Oreochromis niloticus: one gene and its partner. The protein of the gene in region 1 purifies or fractionates together with the protein of each later gene. This does not show direct contact. Links are inferred from orthologs where the notes say so. Each region holds a gene or a part of one and is shown on either strand. Other genes may lie near its edges. The genes, in order: mphosph10 and imp4.

Region 1 (7,515 bases):
GTTTTAAGTGCATGAAAGAGCAAGCACAACCACACTTCGTGTGAGTACACCCTCAGTCCTCTTGTGATTTAACACTTTATTTTGCTTTTTATTATCCTGGAGGGCTTACAGCTGCATCCTCTTAAGTCAAACAGGGATAAATTAGAATGAAATTAACAAATTAAATTTTAAAAAACTTGCTCCAACTTGCTGTGTTGGATATGTTAATCAAACCAGTGACATCTAAAACCTTGTTTCAGGGGCATTTCGTTTACCTTTTCTTGCCGTTTCTCAAACGATGACTTTGCTTCAGACTTTGCTGAGCCTTTGGCTTTTCCTCCCAAAATGTCCTCCACATCCTCTCCCTCGCTGTCTTCATCATCCGAGAGATTAAAGGTCACTTTCTTATGAGATGACCTAGACTGACCCCTCTCCTCATCCCTGCCAAAGTCCAGACACGAACATGGTGAAATTGACTTCTCCCACACATAACTACACGTTTTATAATTTTTGATCGCACTTACTCATCATCACCCTCCTCTTCGCCATCATAGTCGTCATCTATTACTTCTTCACCTTCCTCCTGGCTTTCATCCACGCTGTCATCCTCTCCATCTGACAGGTCGTCTGTTTTAGCTGGTTCGCTGTCCACGGCGTCAAAGAAGTCCTTGTACTTGAGATTCCTGGAGCTCTTCACCTGTCGGCATAAAGAACAGTCAATATATTGGCTGTAGTTTGAACTATCGGGAGGCAAAAAAATGAGTGGAAAATGTGTGATAAGATACATACAGTATTTTTCTTTTGCTTTTTGGTGGAAATGATTTGCTCTAGGTCAAGATCATCATCCTCATCTGAAGGCAGATCCTGAAAATAGTCTACGTCATCTTCATCCTCCTTTCCCTCGCGCTTGTCCATATCATCCAGAAATGCCTCCATCTCTGACAGTTTAAAGAACTTATCATCAACCTCGGAGGGCATCACTTTTGCTTTGGAAGCCTTCCTTCCTGTATCCTTCTTCTGTTTCTCTTTTTTCTCCAGAGCATCCACATCAAAATCCAAATCAGAGTCATCCTCTGAGTTATCCTCTACCTCCACAGCCATTTTCTTTGACCATCTCGGTGGTTCCAATTCTTGTTCCTCCTCCTCCTCTTCTTCATCGTCATCATCATCTGCTGATGCTCCTTCTTCTTCTTGACCACTCTCTTCCTGCTCCTCTTCCTCCAGCACAGTTAACGTCTCATCTGCTAAAGCCTCGTCTATGGCGTTTTTAAAGTGTTTCAGTACGGCTTTGTTCTGCAGCTCTAGCTCCTGCCAAATCTGTTCTTCATCAAAATTTTCAACAACCAGCTGAGCTAGCGGGCTTCCTTTATAATGTCCAGGTTCCTGAGCTTTGTGCAGGTCATATAGAGTCTTAGTGATGGAGGTAAAGTCTGTTGCCACTTCATCTTGAAGGCTGCAAAGATGAAAAGACACAGAATTAGTCAGGTATGTCTTATGATGCGATATTGGGGGGAAAATTAGTTGTTGTTGTTGTTGTTGGTATTAAATAACTGAATTGGATGAAAGTCTGTGGCTTATTTATTAATGTGTTGGTACAAAAACAAAACCACTGTGTTTCATCCATACATCTTCTACCGCTAATCTGGGTTCAGGTCGCAGGGGCAGCAGTCTAATCAGAGAAGGCCAGACTTCCCTCACCACGGCCACCTCTTGCAGCTCATACAGGTGGGAGCAATCATATCCGCAACCTCGTTCTTTCGGTCACTGCCCAGAGCTTGTGACCATAAGTGAGGGCATAAATGTAAATCGATCGGTAATCCAAAAGCTTCATTTTTAGGCTCAGCTCTCTCTTCACCACAACAAACCAACAAAGCATCCGCATCACTGCAGATGCCGCTTCAATCCATCTGCCAATCTCCTCCTCCCCTCATTCATGCTTAAACTCCTCCACTTCGGGCAGCAACTTGCCCCATGGGACTGTTTCATCCTTCAAATTATTGATTTCGTTGCCATGGGATGATGTGGCCTGTGTTTTTGGGATGGCTCTAAGATCACTACTATACCACATGCAGTCCAGAAGTGCACGTTTTGCCACTTTTCAGCAATTTTCTTCTCTTGTTTTAGTAGCTCAGAGTGAAGTGAAAATTTGATACAGAAAATTTGATTTTTATGACTGCAGCAGTAGCATTCGGCATAAATTACTGCAGTTGGCACTCCAAAAAGCAAAGAAATGCCACAATTTGGCACTGATTAACAATTTTTCTGTATTACGCCGACTTTTGGGCTCCTCAAGAAAAAGCTGTGCTCTCTCCCACACCCAAACAACACTGTGCTTATTTGTTAAACTGCTTATGCAGCTCCAGCAGCGAGAGCTCAGTCCTGTTCTGCTGGGAAAAACTTGCCTGTCTGATTGTGGAAATTCAGTAGGGGTTCTCCACCATTTTATTCATACAAGTTTTCTCCTGTTGGGTGAGGTGAGGGGTCTTAACCCCCACTTGAAATACGGCAACACAAACTTGTGTGCACAAATGCATGTACTAGATATTTACTTCATTCAAGACATTTGAAGTTTTACATTTTCTAACAGGTGTGGACTTTCTGAGGATTGACAAACATCATACGCAATGAATAAACATCTGGTGTGTCACAGCAGTTGGTAGTCTAACACGTCAGTTATTACAAGCACATCATCTTTTTTTTCTTTTTCTTTACGTAGCTCTACAATGCAGACGTGAGCCAGCTGATTTTAGGAACATAAAGCGATGAAGTGTTTCTACGTGAAACATAAAGGAGAAACTCGCCTAATCATCAATATCTTACCAAAACCTCGACGTATAAACGTCTTGTCAGGTAAATGTGTTAATGCTGTGCTAACGCTACAGTTAGCTTCAGCTAGCTGGAGCGAATTTCTAAAAATATTTAACAGCTTCTTCAAAAGATTTAAAAAAAATACTCAACGCAAACAACAAACACTTACCTGAGGAAGTTTTCTGGCTGTCCTGTGTTGGCATTTATTTTCTTTACACACTCTTCCAGAACACTGAACACATCTCCACTAGCCATGTTTGCCCCCACATGTGTGACCGTCTGTGTCGCACGTAAACAGGCTCACCGAGAAACCGTTCTGTACCTGCCACTTGGTTCCGGGGTACGAACATGGCGTCCGCCGTGCTGAAGGTTGCAGGTCTGTGTCAACAATTATCCAGCTACAAAATGCTCGCTATTAAGTTCACTGTTCTGCAAACGATAAACGATGATGCTAAGCTTCGTTATAGGGAACTGTAATTTTTTTCGGAAGCTCAAACGAGCCCGCAAAGTTGACGAACATAAACAATGTTTACGTTACATCATGAACCAGAAGCACTCAGAAAGCGCAAACCTCCGCCAAGGTAGCTCACTCTGTATACAGTATTTACTTTTAAGGGAGTAGCATTGTATTTTCTCTATATTCATTTGTTTTCTTTGTTCTTTTCAAATATACTTTAGGAAGTTTGTAGTGCAGCAAAAAGGCTTTTGTTATTTGCCCCGTTGAAACCCATTTGAATATAGTTGACATAATTTTGAGTATCATTTTTTTATGTGGACATATGTGTACATATGTAGCATTCATTTCAGTGGATCCTAAAATGTTTAGTGATGCATGTCAGGTGAAAAAAGTCTTTGATCAAACTAGTTTTTACTTTTGTTTTCCAATAAAATAGCTCCACATAGCATTGTTATCACCTCTCAATCAATTTAGTCTATCAGTCTATCAATTAATCAATCAATTTACCTTGAAGGAGAGGTCAGAGGTCAAATGTGACACATTTGAAATCTTTACATGCTGCTTTCTCCATGTTGACAATACACAGGACAATCATAAGAATTATAGTTTCCAAGTTATAAAGCTTTTTGTCAATTTGTGACCAATAAATCATTATGCTGACCTTGGTGGATGTAAGCCAAGTTAACATGACCCCACGCTACACCCCTACAAAGTTTTATCATTCACTTCAAGCTGTCGTGTTTACAGAGAGAGATATTTGGCGAAGGTACCTATTAACTTCCAAACTACTAACTTAAGCCAAAGGCATACCATTAAGTAACTTCACACTGGAGCATTTTATTCCAAGATTTTTGTATGGTAAGGAGATGTGTGTAAAATTATATGGGTACTGTTATTTACTCTCTGAAACACAGGGTTGACCTAATAACCTAATTATATGTATATGTTCAGTACATAAACAGCAGGTTTCCCAGACAGGGATTAAGCCATGTCTGAGACTAGGAGAAGAATTCAAAGATCACCTCCAATGAAGGCAAAAACAAGATTATGGCCTGGGAAACAAAAGATTGCTCTTACAGTAATAAAACCAAGATTATTGATATGTCCTCCTGAGACTTCGGCTTTAAAATAAAAAAACTAAGTATCATCTGTAACAAAAACAAACAAAAAAAAAGTACTTTTTTAAAAACTATGTCTTCATCAGGAGACGGTAGGTTTATTTTGCAACATAACTCAATAAAGTCGTTTGAAAGTATAAAATATTGAGCTGAATGAATGGTAAGGTGCAGATTTTATGTTCAGTATGAGCACTTTACTTTAAAATGTCGTCTTTAAGGAATTGCCCTGTCGATTGGTCGTAGGAGGAAGGGAAGCCGAATAATTTTATTTTGAAAAGTCTTTCTTTCACAACTGAGTGTCATTCAGGTTTACATTAACTCAGCATGCATCAAACAGAACACCAGACAGTAAAAGATTGGTCTAATTATTATTCATATAATCAAAAACCTACAGTCAGTCACACAAAGGAGAACAGATTTGGGAGTGCAGGAAGCATAGGCTTTAAACATCATTAATGTAACTCGGGACTTGGCCCAGAGTATACAGCATACATCAAAGCTACTTGAGCAGAAACGACAAACACAGCTGATCTCTCTGTATTTTAATTTCATATTTAGCGGCAGGTGTTTCAAGATGCTCTCGCGTCGCGCTCCAGAGGGTACATTCAACAACGGCGCCCCTCCATCAGGGAGTTCCCACGACTCTGTGGAAGCTGGGTAGGCTTAACCACATCGCCATCGCTGTCCCTGACATGGAGAAGGCCACGGCGCTGTATCGGGATGTGCTGGGGGCCACGGTGAGCGAGAAGGTACCCCTGCCCGATCACGGCGTCTACACGGTGTTCGTGGAGCTCGGCAACACCAAGCTGGAGCTGCTCCATCCTCTAGGAGAGAAGAGCCCCATCTCGGGCTTCTTGCAGAAGAACAAGTCAGGAGGAATGCATCATATTTGTATCGAGGTGAGAGGCGATGACAGGGGAGAGCTTTTATTACATTTTTTCATGACTCTGCTTCATTTATCTGTTCACGTGACCCCAAGTTCACGAGACTGAATTCAGAATTTGGTCATCTTCTTACTTCCTCTTGTCTACGTCTACTGTGACATGCATATAATGAATGAGTGAACTGGTATAAAGCATTAGTCGCACTAGTGTTTTACGAGCCAATCCTCGCCTTCTGGTTCATATTCATTTTCCTTTTGCTCTGAGGATGTGCTGCAGAAAAATCTCTCTCTCGTGTTTTATGAGGATTTTTTGTGTGAATCGGTGTAGTAGTATGGCTGTTTGGTACATATAAATACATACATATTCGGTACATATGATATGACCTGGGATGACCACACGATTATCATTGCTTGTGTTTTTATTTTAAGATCTACTCTGAATTTACAAATACCCATCATAAGGTAATAATTTAAAAGATGGAAACTAACAAATTAAACTAAAAATAAACATTTTCAAACACTAAAAACTGGAAAATAATTGTCATCACTGACCATGAGAATGGCCTAATGTAATATTATGAATTTACTAAATTGCATAAAGTAAAATAACTTTAAAAAAAGCAGTTCAACTTTTGCAGAAACATCGTTTTACCTTTTTGTTTTTTTATGTTTGTTTGTTCAGTTTACTTTGCATTGGGGTCATTCAAATCATAATTACTACGTGCATCGATGCAAAGAAGAATTTAGGAATAATTATCTAGAGCCTGTGTGAGTGTAGTAGAGTTTGTTGTTGGTGTTATGTGTTCATGTCAGAGAACGAATGTCAGTGTTGTTGTTGGTCCTATACATCCAGTAACAGCTTGTCCCGAATTATTCCTGTTGCATTACAGCAGCTGTAAACCCAACATAATGTGACTCAGCACGGGGGCCTGTGCGTTAGTCTGCAGTGTTATGAGAGTTGACACTCAGTTGTGATCATTTGTAACCTTAATGATAACAAATGAATTGAACATTAATGTTTTGTTCCCCCTACGACTGCAGGTAGACGACATTAACGCTGCGATAGCGGACCTAAAAACCAAGAACATCAGAATGCTTTCGGCGGAGCCGCGGATAGGCGCTCACGGCAAACCGGTCATGTTTCTTCATCCTAAAGACTGTGACGGTGTTCTCGTGGAGCTTGAAGAAGCATGAAGCATCACATCCTGCCGTTGACTGAGAGGAGCCGTTAACATGTTTTCCAGGCAGTTTGATGATCAGAGTGATAACGGGGATTGTTCCTTATAGCACTTCTGCTTTTGGAAACACAGTTCTTCTTTGTATGGAATAAAGTTCTATGTGGTACATTAACATGTGATGTATTAGTATGCGGTGTGTTGTTCTAACAGCTTCCCCTAAAGTGTTTGTGATAGAAATTTGATATTTCCCATATCTGCTAATTTGTCACATACAGTAAATGATGGCTTTCTTAGACACAGCACTGGGTTGGACTTCCTTTTGGGTTCAACAAGGTTCTGGGAACATTCGTCAGAGATTTTGGTCCATATTGACATGATAGCATTTTTTGTCAGCTCATCCACAACATCAATCTCTCATTCCACCACATCCAATAGGTTCTCTATTGGACTGAGATCTGGTGACTCTGGAGGCCATTTCAGCACAGTCAGCTCACTGTCATGTTCAAGAAAACAATTTGAGATAATTTGAGCTCCGTGACGTGTTACGATATCCTGCTGTAAGCAGCCATCAGATGATGGCACACTGGTCTTAAAGGGATCGGCGTGGTCAGCAACAATACTCAGGTAGGCTGTGGTGTTTAAAAGATGCTCAATTGGTAAAAAAGAGTCTCAAAGTGTCCCAATAAAATCTCTCCAACACTTTTACAAAACCAGCAGTCTGAACTACTAATACTGACCCTACCATCTGAATACTGAAGCAGAAATTGAAAGGCAATGTTTTTCCAGTTTTGGTGAGTCTGTGCATTGCAGCCTTAGCACTTTTTTCACCCACAGAAAATTCCTAAAGCATTCATAATTAAAGGATTCGTTGTAATGTTAATATCCAGACTTTACTTAACTTCACTAGTAGACAGAAATGCATTTACAAGGTATGTGGGAGGAAAAAGCCAAGATAAAATTACTGTCTAAATAAATACAGAACACAGACTATCAATGTCAACGTCTATGAAGAGAATTATGCTTTTAAAGACAAGAGAGCCTGAGAGAAAATTGAGTAGATCGACAACTGAAAATCTCAGACCACCGCGTCTA
Region 2 (8,222 bases), on another chromosome or scaffold:
TTTCCATTTAAGTCACAGTACCTGGCAGCAGGTACTTTTTTAGTATCTACTTGCCCTGGGTTCCAAACGATCTGAGCAGGTACTAAAATGTGATGTTGTCAGGCTGCATGCCACCGATTGGCTGGTCAATAGCGTCACTTGATGAGTCATGAGAGTATCTTGTTCATGAAAATCAGAACCACCATTTTGGAATCCCGGCAACGAGGGAAATAACTACAAGAAACAACGCTGTGGTCCCCCGAGACTAGCGAAAAGTCACAGACTGAGCAGCAGGTATGTTCTTGCCTCGACGTCCACCTTTGCTGTAGCGTCCATGTCACATAGTAATTACTTTGTGGGACGCTCGGATGCTTTGCTATGACGACAGCCATGCATAACAGGTACTACCCGACTGTAATGGAAAACCAGTCGATCCGAGTCGATCCGAGTCGAGTCGTGGCGAGTCGATCCGAGAAGGTGCTAATGGGAACGGGGCTTATGAGTCTAACTAGCACAATGTAGCCACTTACAGGAGGCAACTGTCATTTCAATTTTATTAATATATCACACTTGCTGCTTCATGCCATCTTTTACTTTTTACTTACTGTATCATATCTAGGTGCTATTACAATATGGTTTTGTTATTTCTATAATATCTGCATATGATATGACAATAATATAGAGAAATCCACGACAATCAAATAACCCCTTATGAGCAAACACTTGGCGAAAGTGGGAAGGAAAAACTTCCTTTTTACAGGAAGAAACCTCTGGCAGCACCAGGCTCAATGAAGGGCTAGAGAATTGTTGGATTAAAAATTTGTTGTATCCTTCAAATAGTTTTGAAGCCTGTCAATAAAATGTATATCAGTATTTCTTACATTTTAATGTAAATGTCTAAGAACGCACCATGTAACGCCATATTTCTAAGTTAGCACTATTTGTACTATTTATTTTTTCATTCACAGGTCTCCATTTAAATTCTTTAATACTGGACCCTCCTTGGATTTAGACGTTGTTCTATATTTGGAAATTATTTTGTGTGTTTTCATTTTTCATCTGTAATATACAGAAACATCTATGAAAATCATCAAGAACCAGGGTTGAAATAACTGCACATGCCATTAAATATGTACTAACCTTGGCAAACATTTTGAGTCTGGAGCTTGGGTCTCTGGATGTAGTGACCATGACTTTAGGATCTTCTACTCCAGCCCATTTATACTCATCATCCACATGAGAGCTGACACCTGCACACACAAGAAAGCACCAAAATTTATGAGTGAACAAAAAGTGAGGAACACTGACAAAATGCTAGTAAGAATGCACAACACTTGCCTTCTGCCCCTTCGTCGTCATACTCCACTAGTTTCTGTAGCTCAAGAGCTTCTTTGCGTATCTCAGTGGGAAGGAGACGATTTTCTGCAGAGAAGTAAATGATGTTTTACACACTCGTGTGTGGTCAGAGAATTTTGGTGCCAACTCTGGTCAAGCAAAATGTAGTTGGAAAAAGGATCTTAAGGATCACCCCAACCTACCGTCGAGGGCACCCTTCAGCTTCTGCTTCTTCTCCTCTATTGTTCGGAGCCTGTCCTCCTGTGCCTTCCTGTACAGGTACTCCCGCCTCAGTCTCACCTCTCGACGCAGCTACGCAAACATTACACCATATTACTCCAAAAACAGGCCCCTTAACATAATGACATTACCTTGCAAAATGACAGTTACCACAATATCTGAACATGTCTACACATCTCACACAAGTTAGTGAGAAAACAAGACGAAATGTTAGAAATAACTTATAATCGTAAAAACTTAATACATAATGGCAAACATGTAAGTAAAAACACTGGACATATCTGAACAGGTCTACGGTTAAATCTCCCTACGTTAAAAATTTTACTTAAGTAAAAAGGAGAATTTAAATTGAATTAAGGTCACTTTGGACTGGTTCTTATATAGCACTTGTTAACTTGAGCAGTCAAAGTGCTTCATAACTCGAGCTTCAGCATCTTGCCCAAGGATACGTTGTCTGGACTGGAGTAGCCAGGAATCAAAGCAGCAACCTTCTGATTTGTAGAAGACCTGCTCTACTTCCTGAGCCACAGCCACCCCATAACATTAAGGATATAAAAGCAGTTACTCTAACTTGGATAAATTTTAAAATGAGGAAGCCACTAACAGTTCACTCAGCTCATTAACCCGGATTAAAAGGAATGAAAAGTAGCGCAACAATAGCAGCAACTTCATATAAACCCCTGGAGTTGGGAGTTAAACCCAAGACACTCTTTTTGGAATTGAAATTGATGAACAGACTCCTTAAACTGAGAAGAACAGAAGAGTCTGGATTTATTTCATTAAACTCTGTGACGTAAATGATCAAACAATTCTCAAAACCCCTGACATTTGCAAATAAAACCAACTTTATCTAAATTCTATTTTCAAGGCACCCAGACATACAAGTTCAGTTAAAACAAAAAAAGCACATACAGTGTCCCGTTAATTCACATTTAATAACCTACAGGGGTTCTCCCCTCACTGTTCTGTGTCTGGCAATCAAGATTGTATCTTCATTAGTCACATTTTAATGACACATTTGTAAGAATTCACTAAAGGTTATTACATGTAATTCTCAATTATTTCTTTCTGACACAACGAAAGTGAGCACAATATTCCATATTTCTGAGACCTGAGACTTTTTTTTCAAAGCAGGTTCCTGGAGAGCTGCTATCTTTGTTTTGATTAGAAAACTCACGCTTCTTGACCAACGAGCAAGTTATTTTTTTCACTCATTAGATAGGCTTCGTGGGTTTATTTTTCCTAGTTATACACCAGTCTGTGACGATACAGAAAATGCAGTTGGGAACGAAAACAAGCGTTTAAACAGTACTCTAGTATTTCAACAATACCAGTTAAAGAGCTTTACTGCTGTGCTCTATGGCTCTATGTGAATGCGTGCTAACACTCGGGTGGGGAAATACGCTCGGTACGTCCACCTTGAGCTGCGCTTCTGTGTCAGCTTCGACCTTTACCATCTCCTTTTAGTATCACACTAAAACACAAATTAACGCTCGCACAAACCTTACAATTTTTTACAACTTACCATGATGTGTTTATTGCTAGTAGCTAACCCACGCTACTCACATGGACACGGAGAGAGACGTACCTACAAGAGTTTGTGCCATTGGCTGAAAGAATGACCAATGGCAAACGTCGATACTGACATGTACTGTACTGTAATGACTCATTTTTCAAATTAAAAGCCAAAGAATTCTTTTTTTTCTTTCTCTTCTCTCTCTCTCTCTCTCTTTTTTTTTTTTACCGATAAACTTGTAACTGCTTCGCATATTCAGTGAATAAACAGACACATAAATCCGCCAGGTTGTTGTAAGAACGAAGATTCTCCCTTGAGGAGGTAATATGATTAAATCATCCCCTCACCATTACACCATGAAAGGCAGGCAACAACGCTGTGGCCAAATATTTCCTGCTATATGTCAGTTGCCATTAAAAGCACCTCTTCCTGTTGAATAAATTAGACTTGAGTATAACCAGATTCGGTGTTTGGATCATGCATATTCTGATTTCAGTATTTCTTTTGGCAACAGGTAAGCGTACACGTCATGATTACAGAGGACTTGAACTCATATCTTAGAGTTTAAATATTTGTTTTTGTAGATCATTGTAGTGCCTGACTGGGCCACTAACGGAAGTAGATTAAACTATCTAGTCCAAAACGGGTTTTAATATGGCATCAGTGCCATTCGGTATATCATGAAGGAAAATTATCTTCTATCATTTCGAGGTACACATTTTCTTTGGCATAATTACATTCAGTGATATTATTATTTAAAAACAGTGAGAAAGAATAAAACATAAACTATCAACTTGTACTTTGTCTTGTACTCTGTTCATGTGGGCTTTTAGAGTATTGGTATTGTATTACTTAGTACTGGTTATTACTAATATATATTAGTACAGGAGTATTAACAGGTCAGTATGAAACTGTATGGCTTAACAAAAACAAAAACAAAACATTCCTATTCAAATAAATATCTACGAGTACTGGAATGAAAATGAGTGAAAAACAACCAACATCAAGAGGAAAACTTTAGTAGACCCCCAGAAAGCCTGGAGAACTACTGATCAGGAGCATTTAAAAATTATTTCCACACCTAAACAATGTCACTGTGCAGGTACCTGTGAGGCATTGTTTTGGCAGAAGCTGACATGTCCTTATGAAGTGAAGTACAAGAGCCTTCCGAGGGTTTGGTGTCAGCAGAACTCTGCCGAGTGCTGCACCGGCCTCACCTTCAGTCACAGTGAACACTTGGTGGATGGAGGCAAACTAAAGGTGACCCAGGATGTGAGCTCCTTCACTGTGGAAGTGTTGGAGCCAAACCACAAACAAGGAGTGTACTGGTGTGGTTTGCTAAACAGAAATGGCACCATCATCAAGCTGGCTGAAGGCTACATCCACAACTGTAAGCATAAGATAATATTTCAATTTTATATGCATGTTAAGCTTTCATAATTTTAAAAATTACAAAAGGTGATGTTCTAATATGAGTATTTATGAGAATCATAGGTTTTCTATGACTGTAAGCCCAGTTAAGATTTGGGACTGTTACTCAGCTCTTTGTGTTAACTTGGATTTCAGGGAATATTTCGTGATTTTGCACACCACAAATTTTAGTTAGTTAGAATAACATAAATTAATAATAGGCTAGCTGGTAAACATAACTAGCCATATATTAATCTCTGGAGATGGTGGAGACCAAAGCGGACACCGTGTTTGTGTTGCAGTGTGTCAGCTGGTTGTGCAAACAGATATTAAAACACTAACAAGTCAGTAGTTTCCCTGTTCTAGTGCAAGAAAGGTAGATAAGCAAGTAAATGTCGATATAGTGCTCATGGGCTGCACTACATGTATACAAACCACATGCTTTTTCTGGAACCCCCTGCAGCCACTGCTTCATATATCTGGAGTTTCATTCGCTGGATTCTGCTCCCTCTTCTGCCCATGGTAACCACATTTACCTGCATGTACCTGAAAAGTAAGATATTTTTATACTTCACCACAACAGACATACAATTATTGCACTGAAGCTAAAGTTAGAAAGACTTTCACCCAAGCTGTGTGACACAACTACATGAAGTATAAAACTTAGAAAACATCTATCTATCCATCCATCTTGTTCTCATTCCTTTCAGATTATAATTCAATTCAATTTTATTTATTCAGCACCAAATCACAACAACAGTGGCTTCAATGTGCTTCATATTGTAAGATAGACCCTACAGTAATACATACAGAGAAAAACCCAACAATCACATGACCCCCTATGAGCAAGCACTTTGGCGACTGCAGGAAGGAAAAAAGCCCCCTTTAACAGGAAGAAACCTCCGACAGAAACAGGCTCAGGGAGGGGCGGCCATCTGCTGTGACCAGTTGGAAAGAGAGAAGGAAGACAGGAGCACAACAACAACGCAGCAATTTATTGGATTTTGAGAGTTAAAATTTATACATGTTAACTTTTAGTGGAGCTTAGAGCTGTTGATATATTAGAAACAAAGAAAACAAAAAGAACTGTTTTACAACATTATCATTCATGTATACACAATATTTTTAAGAATCACTGTAATTTTGGCACCTCTACAGATTATGTGGGATGAGAACTTTTAAAAGATGCAAATATGTCTTAAATGCCTGAATGGGGTGGATGTAAGTCAGGAGGTAGAGGAAGGTTGGTGGTTCCCTGGCTGCTACAGTCTGCATGCCAAAGCATTCTTGGGCAAGACACTAAACCACAAGTTACTTTCCAGTGTATGAATGTTAAATAGAAAGCACTCAAAAAAACGTGCTGAATTAAAATACAAAGATATGGAAAAAGAATGAGAACAAACCCCCAAAACCTCTAAAATTCAAAACTTGGGGTCAACGACCCAGAGACCTGACAGACATGACAGCTGAAAATGAAATAAAGAATATGTTTGATGAAAATTAGTCACATGAAATCTAATTTTGCACATTCTGGATTCAGGTCTTTCACCATCAGCTGTAGAGACAGGCCTTGTGTTTTATGTGTTACTGTTCATTTATGTTCTTCACTTCTAATGAGTCCTTCAGATGATAAATAATGGTAAGGGAAGCTATTTGCGCTGCAGTACTATACGAGATGAACCATTTTGCAATGTAAGAATTTTAGCTCTTGTTTTAATATTTCATAAATAATAAACAATGGTCACTGCATCGTGCTGTAGCATGTAACCATGGTGGGTTCACTAAACTCTAACTTTTCTTTCACAGCAACACAAAAACACCTTTTTAAGGTAAAACCTCCCACACCTTGAAACATTTAAACAGCATGAAGAGTTACAGGTGTTACATCTTTTTCTGGTCTTCCCTCAGAAAGCAGATGGACTTTATGACGACGTGGGTATGACCAAAGCTGTGACTGAGCAGGAGTATGAAAATACAGAATCTCTGCTGTGAAATGCAGGCACGAGGAGCGTTGGCAGAGTCTTTGGAATAATTTAATTATTCAATCTGAAATTATAATCAATTAGTGAGAAAAAACAACAGTTAAATTACAATTGCCAATGAAAATGTTCGATTCAAATAATTTTTTTTTAGTATAGTAACAATTCACAGCAGGAGTGGCTTCATAGCTCTGTCTATTGTTAGCCAATACATATGCTTTTCACAAAATGTCCAACTATAAGCTGGCTAATGTTAAGCAAAGAGTTTCTTTGCACTGTTTTGAAGCCACCAGGGGTTGATACCTGTGGTTGTGAAAAGACTTTCTCTGGAAGTCTGTGGGAAAATGGTCCTCAGACTTAACTGTTGGCACTTTTCTGATTAGTCTATAGACTCAGCCATTCATTTCGAGTCATACTGAATAAAACTTCATTTTTGTCCCAAATTACAGATTCTGATTTATTTTGATGGTAATATATTTCAAAAACTATTTGATATATGAAGCTAGAAGTTTGCAGCAGTCATTATATATGCTCAAACCTTGGACCATAAAGTTTTTTTTTTTAAATGGAAAATGGAGGTAGTCCAGCAAGAAATGTTCTAAAAATATGCTGCTTTGAGATGGAATGACGCGCCAAAGTCCAAAGAGTGTCAGCGACCTCTTCTTTAATATTTTCTTAAGTTTTCTCAAACATTTTCACTTTAACTTTGGAGAACATCCACAGATTGTTTACAAAAGATTTTGGCACTCATGTTACTCATTGGTTAGTGAAGCAGTATGTTATAATTCAATTCAATTCAATTTTATTTATATAGCGCCAAATCACAACAAAAGTCGCCTCAAGGCACTTTATATTGTACAGTAGATAGCACAATAATAAATACAGAGAAAAACCCAACAATCATATGACCCCCTATGAGCAAGCACTTTGGCGACAGTGGGAAGGAAAAACTCCCTTTTAACAGGAAGAAACCTCCGGCAGAACCAGGCTCAGGGAGGGGCGGCCATCTGCTGCGACCGGTTGGGGTGAAAGAAGGAAAACAGGATGAAAGACATGCTGTGGAAGAGAGACAGAGATTAATAACAGATATGATTCGATGCAGAGAGGTCTATTAGCACATAGTGAGTGAGAAAGGTGACTGGAAGGGAAAAACTCAATGCATCATGGGAATCCCCGGCAGCCTACGTCTATTGCAGCATAACTAAGGGAGGATTCAGGGTCACCTGGTCCAGCCCTAACTATATGCTTTAGCAAAAAGGAAAGTTTAAAGCCTAATCTTGAAAGTAGAGATAGTGTCTGTCTCCCGAATCCAAACTGGAAGTTGGTTCCACAGAAGAGGGGCCTGAAAACTGAAGGCTCTGCCTCCCATTCTACTTTTAAATACTCTAGGAACAACAAGTAAGCCTGCAGTGCAAGAGCGAAGTGCTCTAATAGGGTGATATGGTACTACAAGGTCATTAAGATAAGATGGGGCCTGATTATTTAAGACCTTGTATGTGAGGAGCAGGATTTTGAAATCAATTCTGGATTTAACAGGAAGCCAATGAAGGGAAGCCAAAACAGGAGAAATATGCTCTCTCTTTCTAGTCCCTGTCAGTACTCTTGCTGCAGCATTTTGGATTAGCTGAAGGCTTCTCAGCGAGTTTTTAGGACTTCCTGATAATAGTGAATTACAGTAGTCCAGCCTGGAAGTAATAAATGCATGAACTAGTTTTTCAGCATCACTCTGAGACAGGATATTTCTAATTTTAGAGATATTGCGC

The links.
Region 2: the proteins of mphosph10 (region 1) and imp4 purify together in Homo sapiens (affinity purification with mass spectrometry; 3 studies listed by BioGRID and IntAct, with this or other methods). This does not show direct contact. The link is inferred for Oreochromis niloticus from reciprocal best matches to the Homo sapiens genes MPHOSPH10 and IMP4.

Annotation. Positions count from the first base shown.
Region 1 is NC_031965.2:17,952,023-17,959,537, forward strand, and holds the start of mphosph10 (U3 small nucleolar ribonucleoprotein MPP10), read right to left. Parts: upstream 3,086-7,515; 5' UTR 3,043-3,085; coding exon 2,957-3,042; intron 2,830-2,956; coding exon of another isoform or gene 2,742-2,829; exon of another isoform or gene 2,727-2,741; intron 1,433-2,726; coding exon 769-1,432; intron 677-768; coding exon 504-676; intron 421-503; coding exon 255-420; intron 1-254. Other genes in the region: mcee (methylmalonyl-CoA epimerase, mitochondrial), read left to right, coding at 2,742-2,829, 3,086-3,163, 4,921-5,261, 6,287-6,439. UniProt on the Homo sapiens protein: Component of the 60-80S U3 small nucleolar ribonucleoprotein (U3 snoRNP). Required for the early cleavages during pre-18S ribosomal RNA processing. Part of the small subunit (SSU) processome, first precursor of the small eukaryotic ribosomal subunit.
Region 2 is NC_031977.2:3,338,433-3,346,654, reverse strand, and holds the start of imp4 (U3 small nucleolar ribonucleoprotein IMP4), read right to left. Parts: upstream 3,234-8,222; 5' UTR 3,083-3,233; coding exon 3,080-3,082; intron 1,627-3,079; coding exon 1,518-1,626; intron 1,402-1,517; coding exon 1,318-1,401; intron 1,230-1,317; coding exon 1,120-1,229; intron 1-1,119. UniProt on the Homo sapiens protein: Component of the 60-80S U3 small nucleolar ribonucleoprotein (U3 snoRNP). Required for the early cleavages during pre-18S ribosomal RNA processing. Part of the small subunit (SSU) processome, first precursor of the small eukaryotic ribosomal subunit.